Linked DNA regions of Diceros bicornis minor. The protein of the gene in region 3 interacts with the protein of the main gene of each other region in a pairwise test. Links are inferred from orthologs where the notes say so. Each region holds a gene or a part of one and is shown on either strand. Other genes may lie near its edges.

Evidence for each region.
Region 1: the proteins of AP4B1 (region 3) and ZNF576 interact in binary tests that used the Homo sapiens proteins (3 or more experiments, as listed by UniProt). The two-hybrid records come from large-scale screens. The link is inferred for Diceros bicornis minor from reciprocal best matches to the Homo sapiens genes AP4B1 and ZNF576.
Region 2: the proteins of AP4B1 (region 3) and TEPSIN interact in binary tests that used the Homo sapiens proteins (3 or more experiments, as listed by UniProt). The link is inferred for Diceros bicornis minor from reciprocal best matches to the Homo sapiens genes AP4B1 and TEPSIN.

What each region holds. Positions count from the first base shown.
Region 1 is NC_080773.1:18,203,827-18,207,571, forward strand, and holds the start of ZNF576 (zinc finger protein 576), read left to right. Parts: upstream 1-1,580; 5' UTR 1,581-1,919; coding exon 1,920-1,948; exon of another isoform or gene 1,949-2,317; coding exon 2,318-2,418; intron 2,419-3,529; exon of another isoform or gene 3,530-3,745. Other genes in the region: IRGQ (immunity-related GTPase family Q protein), read right to left, coding at 335-864. UniProt on the Homo sapiens protein: May be involved in transcriptional regulation.
Region 2 is NC_080757.1:60,682,607-60,686,351, forward strand, and holds the start of TEPSIN (AP-4 complex accessory subunit tepsin), read right to left. Parts: upstream 2,718-3,745; 5' UTR 2,685-2,717; coding exon 2,637-2,684; intron 515-2,636; coding exon 442-514; intron 125-441; coding exon 33-124; intron 1-32. Other genes in the region: NDUFAF8 (NADH dehydrogenase [ubiquinone] 1 alpha subcomplex assembly factor 8), read left to right, coding at 2,940-3,023, 3,180-3,290. UniProt on the Homo sapiens protein: Associates with the adapter-like complex 4 (AP-4) and may therefore play a role in vesicular trafficking of proteins at the trans-Golgi network.
Region 3 is NC_080743.1:46,664,970-46,668,714, reverse strand, and holds the start of AP4B1 (AP-4 complex subunit beta-1), read left to right. Parts: upstream 1-1,119; 5' UTR 1,120-1,183; intron 1,184-3,745.

The DNA.
Region 1 (3,745 bases), on a different chromosome or scaffold from region 3:
TCAAGCTTTCGCCTGGGGCAGTATTTGCACAATAGGTCCCAGCCTCTCCTAGAATTCCTGCTAGGGAGCGGGGCTTGTGACCTCGCCTGAGGCAGGAACTGGATGACAGATCGGGACTTCCAGCTGACCCTTGGCTGGGGGTGGGCCTAGACGTGAGAGAACAGTCAAGCAGGACCTGGATGAGGGAGCAGGACCTGCAGCAGGTATCTGGTTAAGGCTGGCCCCAAAGTCGCTGGGGTAGGGGGTCTCGCGGACCTCAAAGAGTCCCTTATCGGTGTGAGGTCTGTACTAAAGGACCAGGCCTCCCCAACCCACCCAGAAAATCTGCGCTCACCTCTGCAGCGCCTCCGCCTGGCTCCGCAGCGCCGCGCGCAGGCGCTCCAGCTCCTCGCAGCCGTCTCTGCTGCCGCAGTCCGCCGGCAGCACGAAGAGAGCCGCGGCCCCCAACCCCGCGCTGTCCAGCAGGGCCGCTGTCTGATCCCGGGCCTGGCCTTCATTCCGTGAATCCCCAGGACGGAGGTTCCGCACAGCCAGCAGCGGGGTCCCTCGGGCCAGGGCGGCCCGCGCTGCCTCCGCCAGCGCAGGGGCCAAGGGCTCCCCGTTCCCCTCGGGGCCTGGCAGCACCAGTACCAGCACGTTGGCCTCGGCCGCCCAGGGTCCCGGCGCTGCGGGTGGGCAGCTCAGCTCGCCCAGGAAGAGGCCTGGGCCCGCAGCTCGCAGGCTGGGGATCCCGGAGTCCGGCCGTCCGTCGGGGATTTCTACCATCTCCACAGCTTTGTCGCACAGCGCTGCGATCAGCGCAGACTTTCCCGAGCCCGGCGGCCCCAGGAACAAGGCGGTCACGTCACCCCGCGGCGGAGGCATAGCTGGAAAGCAAGGGGTGGGGAAGACGGGGGTCAGGGAGCCCCCAGCCTTTGTCTTTTCTAGCCGCCCCAGTCTGGCGTCAGACGTCAGTCCTCCACCCTGTTCCCTTCTTCCATTCTCGGGTGTCACTCCCAGGGACCTGGGAATCCGGCGCCCAGACCCTATTCCCCAGGGACCCAGGCGTCCTTTCCGCTCTCCTTCTAGATATGTTTCTCTCTCTGCTTCGAAAACTCAGAAATTCGGCCTCCAGCCCTCTCCTCTCTCAAGGGTACAGATGTTCCCCCCCACCCCCTTCCGAATCACTAACCGAGCCAACGGCCGGCACAAGGGAGAGCGCAGCTGATGGAGGCTGGTCAGCCGCTGAGCACCCCCGCCCCTGGAGTCCGGCGGACGGAGGCCGAAGAGCCTAGAGCGCGGGGATTTGGGGATGTCCAGACACGTCCCGGGGACTCTAACCTGACGTCACTCCTTTTAGGAGGGGGTGTGTCTTGGAAGCGTGATCTCGGAGCACAGCCGCAGCGCCTGCGCAGAACGGCCAAAGTGCGTTCGCTCCCCAGCTCCGGCTGCCGCAGGGCCTAAAACAATGAGGGAGGCACAGCGCCTGCGCGCCAGGAGCGCCCAGCCACACCTGCGCAATGAGCTTAGGTCCTCACGGCACCGGTGGCTTGCAACGTCATCATAACGCATCCCAGTGCGGAGAAGGACCCCACCCGTTATTTTGAGGGCCGGTTGGCGCGACTGCATCATTGCCGGATGGCAGTCCAGGATCTCGGTTTCGAGAGGCTCAACAGGCGAAAGGGCGTGGAAACCACCGGGACTTGGAGACTCGGTGGGCCCTGTCCTGCTCCCCTCCGGGTGGCGGCGCTGTGACGAGCGACTGACAGGCGCAACGAAAGGCAGCCCTGTGCTGTCTGGAGAAAAAGCAGAGGCCTGGGCTACCCGCCTCGGGAGGAGGGAGCCAAGGGCAGTGCTGGGAGCAGCGGGACACGGAGGCTGAAAGCGCGTGGGAGGCGGGGGCTCTGGGTGGAACAAGAGTTAGAGGATGTCAGAGAAGGATGTCTCCTGGGAAGAGGCGAGCTAAAGCGTGGGTACCACTACCTGCCTCAAGACACGTGGGAGAAACGGGAATGAGGCTGATGTCAAAGATCAAGGGTCCTGCGCTGAGTTCAGGAGTTAGTTTGATGTAGAAGGTCATAGGTCTCACACAGGTGAGAAGGCTCTAAGGGGAGTCACAAACCCCGGGGAGTCAAATGGTTTGGGAGGGTTGAAGCTTCTCTAGGGAGAGCTCCATCAGGTTAGAGTTCAAGGAGATGGTATCTGGTGGGGGTCCAAGGCTGGCAAGGAGAGCCTCTATGTCAAAGGTCATAGGATTAGCGGGCCCTCTAAGGCTGGCGAGAGATGAGCGACTTCACTTGATTTACTATTCTATCATCCGTGCTCCTCTCTTGACCAGAGGGGTCCCAGCCACCATGGAGGACCCGCACCCCAAAGAGATCATGGAGCAGCAGGATTCGTCCAGGGAAAGGAGTCCCAGCAGTCCAAGAGGCGACATCTGTGAGTACTGCTGGCCAGAGGAGGGTGGGGTGCAGGAGCTGATGCTAAGAGAATTTCTATAGCATTTTAGTGTCCAAGGTGCTGCAGGGACTTGCCTGTTGGGGTCCTGCCCTACCAGGAAGTGCCACTCCTCACCTTCACCCCCATTACGCTCAGATGTCCCCACCCTGCTCTGTCCACATAAGCATGAGTGGGATGCATTTCAGAGAGACAGAGTGGCATCAAGAGGCTTCGGGTGGGAGATGCAGCTGGGAGAGGGCAGAGACTGTGAGAGGAGCCCTAAGGTTCCAGTCCCAACTCTGCCCCAGACTTCCATTGTGACTTGGGCCTCAGTTTCCCTATCAGTCAAAAGGGGTTGCCACTGCTCACCTCACAGGGCTGTTATGGGGATTAGTGACAAAAAAGGGGAAAGCTTGATATTAATGAAGGTAGCCAGTATGACATATAATAATAGCAACAGCTTCTTCTGAATTCTTATGATGTGCTAGGCGCATTCTAAGCGCTTAACATTCGTTATCCCATTCAGTCCTCCTAACAGACCCTGTAAAATTGGTTACTATCACTTGCAGAAGAGGGAACTGTGGCACAGAGAAGTATCCGTAACAATTGGAGGCAGTATCAACGCCCTCCAGCCAGAGACCACCAGAACACAGCTGCAGTTGCACAAGTTGGGTTTATTGCTCACTGTACTGAGGAAGTGCACACACACCATGGGGGCACTGTGGGGCACCTCAGTAGTAGAGCGTTAGGAAGAACTTATGATAGGATTTGGGCTTGTGATAGGTGATATGGGGGGGGCTCAAGGAAGAGGGGTTTGCTCTGGACTGGATGCTGCCAGGAAGCAGGGGCAATTGTATGGCTGGCCATCTTAATAACTCTCACCTAGAAGGAGGGTGGAACAAAGAGAGGCGCAAGCTGACTGCAGCAGCAGCAGCACAGGCACTCGTGTGAGCCAGGATGGGGGCGTCTGGTCATTTCTGTGGTTTGGACAACATTCACAGTTGTGTCTGCGTTCAGACGCTATTATGGTGTGGTCCTGTTGTCTTGATGCGTCTTAGCCACAGCATGGCCTTGTCTGACGACGTTCTGTGACACCGTTTATGTTCAACAGGAGACCACCAAGGCCAGCTCCCAGCTGTCGGGCTGCTTTTCTCTTTCTCAATAGTAATACTTGCAGACCACTGTGTAGCACTGTTCTAAGTTCTAAGCACTTTATATTAAATAAAAGTTCATGTACTCCTTCCAACAACCCTATGAGGCAGATACTGAGAGGGTTATCACCCCATTTGCCAGATGAGGAACCTGTTGTACTTGCCTAGGAAGTGGC
Region 2 (3,745 bases), on a different chromosome or scaffold from region 3:
GGAGTGTCTGCAGGGGCTGCTCCTGGACTCACCTTGAGCTTCACACGGCCAGAGCCGCTGTGCAGACGGTTCAGAAGATACTCAAGGAGGCACTGGCTGCTGCCCAGGGACTCGTGGGAGATTTCTGGGAGGTGCTTGGGTTAGGGAAGGAGCAAGCTGACCTCAGGCCACACTAGGCCTCGGTGGTCAGGGAGGGAAACTGGGCCTTGCTGCCACTGGACTTCTCGGTGCGTCCTTCCTGCAGGCACCACTCTGGGCCCTGGTTTCAGGAGCGTCGGGTTCTAGGGTCTCCTGGGCCCCGTGTCATTGGTAATGTGGCTTTTAGACCTCGCCCGCACTTGGTTACTATGATAAAGAAGCTGTGGACCCCCTCAGGATAAGAGAACCCCAAGAACCCTGCATGCTGTTCCAGGGCCCCCACATGTGGACGAGGAAGGATACTGGCAATCTCCTCAAACAAGTAGCCTGGACACGGGACGTCATCATCCGATGTTCCCTTCAGGAGAGTCGGGAGCTGAAAGTGAGTGAGAGCCCCTGCCCATGATGAGTGACCATTGTACACAGAGATGAGCCCATGGGCGCCAAAGGGCCAGCCATTCCTGAGTGGCTGTGGGAGTCCTAGCTCTCGGGGCTCCTGGGAGCACCGGTGCGCACACGTCTCGCTGTTGGCACACCATCTGGTAAGGGGCTGAAGAGGACGGCAGTGGTCTCACCAGCCACAGGGAGCCTGCAGGAGCCTCCCTTCTGGACGACTGGGGATGGATGCCGGGGAAGAGGCAATCAGTGGTGGTCTCCACGGTGATGGACTGCTATGCTTGGCTCAGGATGTGGCATAGCTCCCAGGCCTCTCCACTTATAGAGGTGCAAGAGGACTTAAAGGCACCCTTAATGTATCTACTTACGGACCGGCAAAAACAAGAAAGCACAGGGTGAGCCCCTTCCCCACGCAGGGGTCTGGGAATGTTCTGTCTTTCCAGAGCACCCATTGGCAGTGTGACATAACCACTGAGGCTGACCAACCCCCGGCTCCACTTCTGGGGACGGACCCCAAGGAAACAACCCACAGGGAGAACAACTGACTTGTGTTGCGTCTTATGTTTACTTGTTAGCACAAACGTATTGATGCTATGTGCTCACTCAACACAAAGACATAGGGTCTCCAGGGATGAACACCAGAAACGCCCATTCATTCCCACATCATTCAGCATGTGGGGGCGTGAGCCTTGGTGTAGACAGGATAGAAGACCTTGGGGTACTCAGAACAATTCCGTCAGGGGCTGGCCACAGACTAGAGTTTGAACGACAGCTATCTGGTGTCACACATGTGCCTGAGTGTCCCGTGAGCCTGTGCACACACTACTTACATTACTCGTCCACCAAGACCCAAAGGGGACCTGGAGAGGACGGCAGAACTCTCAGCATGTGAGGATCCTCTGCACTGAGAGAACTGACCGGGGGCTTCTAACAGCATGAGGATGATCTCAGCCCCCTGAAATGATGGAGGAAGCTCAAGGTGCCAGGAGACTTTATGGTTCACCCTGGTCAACACCTGGAGACAGGCCCCAAACTTCCGACCTTTCTTTCTTGGAGCATTTACAGTCAGGCACCGCATAACGATGTTTCGGTCTATGAGAGACCACACGTAGGATGGTGGTCCCATAAGATCGGCACCATATGGCCTAGCTGTGTAGTAGGCTATGTCATCTAGGTTTGTGTAAGTACACCCTGCGTTCATGTCACCTAATGACACGGTTCTCAGAACATATCCCCATCAAGTGACATGTCACTGTATTGTGAAAGTGGGTTTCCTACAACTCAGGAGTGTCTCTCTCAAGGACCTGAGGGCCATTCTTCAAACTGTAACCATCAGGAAGGACAGGGCTTGTCTCCCAGTCCCTATGGGGCGACAGGATCCTAACTTCCATAACTGCCAGCCAGCACACACAGCTGGCTGAATCCCATGGACACTGCCCAACCCCTCAACATTTTTCACTTGAGCCCCACTCTCCCCTGATTCTCCCTTTAAAACGCCCAGTCTTCTCCGCACTAATCGGAATGGAGTTCAGAGCTTGCCCTGCTGTCAGAGTCACTGAGTAAAACGTTCACCCCGATTCCCAAACTAGTGTCTGGCTGCGTTGGTCTTGGACACAGTTCAGGGCTCACTATATTCCTTTTTCTGTGAAGCTGCTTTAAGTTGAGAAAGAAAACAAATTCGGGTCCCACTGCTATCTTTCCCAATTTGGGTTCTGTTCAAGAAGCCTGAGTGTCCCCAGGGGACCTGACGCAGGATTGGCGCGTTCTGGCCGTGCCACGTACACAGAGTGGGGTCCCCCAACTTTGGGAGGGGCTGAAGGGGGGAGGAGGGGTGGGGGGTGGGTCGGAGGGGGCAGAGGACGTTGGAGGGGTCAGAGGAGGCCTGGAGAGGATGGAGGAGGTTAGAGGGGGTTGGAGAGGTCGGGAACAGTGGGGTCGGAGGAGCCGGAGGAGGATGGTGGGGACGCCGAGCCCGAGGAGCCGTAGGCGCCGGAGCGCGGTGACCCGGCGGGGGCCGAGAGAGTCCAGGGAGGTGGGCGGCTCTGGCCCAGGGCGAGCCGGGGGAGGCGGCACGCAGCAGAGCCTGGGCCGCCCGCACTCACCCGGTGCAGGAAATTCAGGCGGTCCCGCAGCGGCGGCGTGCCCGCCATGATGCCGGTCACCTTCCGGCCCCGCCCCGCTTCCGCCAGGCCCCGGGCCCTCCCCAATCACCGCGCGAGTCTGGCCCCGCTGGCCAATTGCTCGCGTGGGGCGGGCCCTGAGGAGAGGCACAGGCGAGGCTGAAGCCTGGCCAATTAGAAAGCGCAGGAAGGTTATGGACGGAAGCGCCGACCTATCCAGCTGTTGGGTTCCGGAAGAGGACGGGCCTAAGATGGCGGCGTCCACGGGTGTCGGGAGGACCGCTCATGTCGGGGAACGGAGCGGTATGGGGGCGCGTGCGAAGCCGCCTCCGCGCCTTCCCTGAGCGCCTGTCGGCCTGCGGGGCCGAGGTGAGGAGCGTCGGGCGGGGCAGCGCCTGCGAGGCAGGAAGGGCCGCACGGGAGGGCGGCGGGGCGCTCGCTGGTGACCGGGGGGCGTGGGCGGGGTCTGGTCCCGGTGACTGCCGCCGCGACCCTCGCCCATCCCCGTCCTCTCCCCATCCCCAGGCCGCGGCCTACGGCCGGTGCGTGCAGGCGTCCACGGCCCAGGGCGGCCACCTGAGGAAGGATCTCTGCGCGCGGGAGTTCAAGGCCCTGCGGTGCTGCTTCCTCGCCGCGGTAGGTGTGCGCCGCCCGCCTGGTGTGGGGACCCGGAGCAGGGCCCCCACGAGTCCGCCTCTCTTCTCGTGCGGCCGGTGACCGGCGCCTGCCGGTGCTTCCGACGCGCGCGCCGACCCCCCCGCCCGCGCGATCCCCGCCGCCACGGAGCTGTATGCCGGTGTCTGTCACGTGGGGGCGCCAGCCTCGTCGTGGGGGTGACGGTGGTGATGGTGTGTGTGCGAAAGCGCTTTCTCACTGTACGTGGTACTGTCGCTGGGGGGTGATGCCCAAACGAACCCCAACCCGGGACTTGGGTAGCTGGCATCCTCGCACTCGCCGTGTTTCAGCTTCGCTGGTGTTGAGGACGTCAGGCGTGCTGTGTGTAGGCGGTTACAACGGACGGGCCACCGCGCACACACTGAGGGGCAGTCACGCACCCTCGACTTCCCCGTACAACACCCCCATTTTGTGGA
Region 3 (3,745 bases):
GTCTTGGTTGCTAGGCACAAAAAAGGGCCTCTTTCTCACAGATCCGTGAACAGTGCAGGCCTTACCCAAGAGTTTTGGTTGTTTCCTCACCTTTTTTCTTTTTTTTTTAACGAAAGCTTTGGGAAAGTGGCGACAGACAGCAAAAGTTTCCCCCCAAGCCAGACCTCTAGATGTGCCTTGCACAGATATACATTAGGTGGGCTGGTCCCATGGAGTCTCCACCATTACAAATTACAAACCACGATTACAGAGCGTTCGCGGAGAGAATAGGAAAGCTCCCACACCCACCCCACCACCTCCGTCCTTTCCAGACACCGCTTCCTGGTCCCAAACAGCACAGATCACCCAAAACCATGGTGATAAGCAGAGCTGTGAAATACACACGCACAAGCCACACATTGAGACCCTGCCACGACAGCCGGGAAAAAAACCGGCCGGATGAGGAGACGCAAGGCGGCCTCCTGTCATTTGAGGACAACAACACGCCCAGGAGAGAAGTGGCAGGAGACAGGGGGAGTTGCCCCGAAAACGAGCCCGGAGCCTCCCTGGTTTTCCTGGGAACGCAATCCCCTCGGCGGCCGTGAGGGGCCGGGCCGCAGGAGGCGGCGCCGGGTCCGGATGGGGGCCAGCTGAGGGAAGCGCCCCCCGCAGGCCGGGCCGGTCCGGCCCCGCCTCGGGGAGCGGATAGGAGGTCGCTCCCTGCCGAGACCCCTTCCCGCCCGTCCCCACTCACCGCCGGTGTGTCTGGTTCTCAGCCGCGAGCTGGGGCTGCCGTGAGGAGGCGGCGGAGGAGACGAGATCCTGGGCCCCGCCGCCGGGTCATCATACCCCCCGCACGAGCCGGCCCGGGCCCCGGCCCCCGCCCCCCGGAGCCGTCCCCGCGCCCGTCCCGCGGGGGGAGCCCCCTCAGCCTCCCGCCCGCTCCGCCGCCCGGCCTCTTGCCGCCGCCGCCGCCTCAGCCCCGCGCGCTCCCGCCTCGGCCTCCCGCTGCCGCCCGGGGCCACCTCCGGGCCCCTCGCTCCGCAGCCGCCGTTGTCGCCAGACCCGATGAGCTGAGCGCCGAGCGGCCGCCCCCATCCGGCCGGCCCCGCCTCGCGGGAACTCTTCACCCGCCCCGCGCCATGACACCTACTGAGGCGGAAGTGCCGAGGAGCGGACGGATGAGAACTACCGCATAGTACTGGTGGGAGTGGGAGTGGGAGTGGGGGTGAGCGTGGGGGTGGGGATGGGGGTCCCTCCGTGGGGAGCCAGCCTGGACCGAGTGCGGGGGCGAGATTCCCCGACCCCTCCGCGCGGCAGACTCCGCGGTGATTTAAAGGTGCTTGGTGGCGGTAGGGGGTCCAGCCAGTGTGACATCACCACAGTCTGGTGTGACACCCCCAGAGATTGGGCAGCGCGCGAGGAGGCAGTGCCTACCTGGGAAGCCCCCCTACTGGTTGAGGAATTACCTCAGTTTAGGCTTTAATGTTTCGTTGCCATGTCGAGACGTTCTAGCAGAGTGACATCCGTGTATGGGATCTGTAAGCCTCCAAGAACATAAGTGCCCCTTAGTGGCTCACCCATTGCTGCCTTGGAAACCTGTGTTTGCATTAAGAGGTGAGAAAGAGTAGCTGTGCTCTGAACCCAACCCCTCAAAACATGCAGTGAGCAAATGCTACCATAATTTTCTTGACTCCACCAGGAGATAGTAAGGCTGGATATTCAGGAAATGGAATGCATTGGGCACATAACATTCTGAAAAAAAGTGGACACTGCGTGACAACTAGATTACCCTACTAAAAGGACAGTTGCCATCTCCCAAGGTCAAGAGATTCTGTAGGACTTCAGATATACCTCCTGCGGTGTAAAATGTTCTAATTCCTAAAGTGGGGGACATTTTTAGGGAGACAGGTGGTATAATCTATCTATTTTTTCTATCCCACAAGTGCTGGAGGCAGCAATGATCTGAGCCCTAAAAGTGACTGTCCAGCACCATAGGTTTTTGCATGTACTCTTTGAGGAGGGGGGGCAGATGTGGCTGAGACAAGATTCTGATATCAAACTGTATTTCTCAGATCTCATTCATTATACATCCTTGACCTCTGGATCCCCATCTCCTCACAAAAAGGTAATTTTTGTAAAGATGTGCTGAAGTGGTTGTACTACCTTTGGGTTTCTCGCCTGGCTTAGCAACACTGGGAGCAGTTCTATTTTATTGGGCACAGGGAAGTTTATTTCCCTAGAGGACTAGGGTTAGCAAAAGTGTTCAATCCCACAGGGTAGTTTTGTTTATTTTCACAAAAACTTAGCGAACACAGAGACCTACATCGGGGTGACCTGGGAAACATCAAGACATATAGAGTGGGCCAGTAGGCCTGTGTGGGGAGCCAGGAAAAAGGCAGAACTTGAGTTCTGGGGTAGAACAGATCCTGCTCCAAAAGCAGACTTGAAACACACACATCGCTTCCCATGCCTTGGTTCAACCTAACTCCATGACATGCTGCTAAGCTTCTACTTGTCCAAATTATCTTTCTTTCCTCTTTTCAAATACATCTCAAAATTCACCTTTAGGGAGCCTTTCCTGATTGACCCCCACTTTACTGTAATTGTTCAGTTCTGCGTCACCATCTGACTACTTAATTTACTTATTTGTACCTTATTTATTTATACTTGTTGATCTCTGTTTTCATTGTTCTTAGGTCATTTCCTCAGTCTATCTCACCACAAGACTTCTTAAAATCCAGTAGTTTCCTCTCTCTGATATCATTCATTTGTCATCCAACAAACTACTTGTGTGCCTGCTCTACACCAGGCACTCTCCTAGACACTGGGTGAGATGCAAGATGAAAAAGACTTGGTCTTTTCGCTCAGAGAGCTTACAGTCTAGTGAGGAGTAAAAAGCATGGGGACATATATAAGATTTGAATGACGGAGTCAGGGAACACATTCAGAGAAGGCACTATTTGAGCGTGGTATGGTCAAAGAAGTTTCAGAGTTTAATGTAGCTGGAGTTCATTTGTCCATTCAGCAAATATCTATTGAGTATCTTCTGTGTGCCAGGCACTATATTAGAAGTTAAAGATACAAAGAAGAAAAGGCATGGTCCATCCCCTGAAAGAGCTTACAGTTCAGCAGAGAAGTGGCAGGATATGGAATTCATAAAGTAGATTGAGTTAGATTTTTGAAAGGCAATGAAGAGCTATTAGAGGTTTGATCCGACAGGTATTATGAGGGAATCTATGCTTAAAGAGAGATCTGGTGGCAGCAGGGAGGTGGATAGCTGGCTAGAGTGGGTGAAGACTAGAGAAAGAGAGCCTAACTAGGAAACTATGATGAGGGTTTGATCCAGCAGGGAACACGGAGAGAGGGAGGCAGATATGTGAACTATCTCCTCCCAGACAAAGTCAGAGCAGCTGGAGAGGGGGATGGAGCTGTTGCTAGTTGGAAGCATTGAAGTCTCATCTAGGGTATGACATCCCCCTAGGGCCTAGAGCCTAGATTCATTGTTGCAGACAAGAAGTGACTTGCTCAGGAGCTGCAGTACTTAAGGCCAAGGAGGAGAAGCTCACCAAAGGCTGTGTCTTGAGAGAGGCTGAGTCACAAACCTAGGCAAACCATCCAAACAAGCAGTGAATCCAAGGGGCCAGGAGGAAAAAGAGAATTCAGGTAGAAGCCAACAGTTGTAAAACTGGGAAAACCACATGAGAGTGAAGATTTGAAGTAAAGGATAGGAGGCAGAACATGGAAAAATCCTTTGAACCTATAA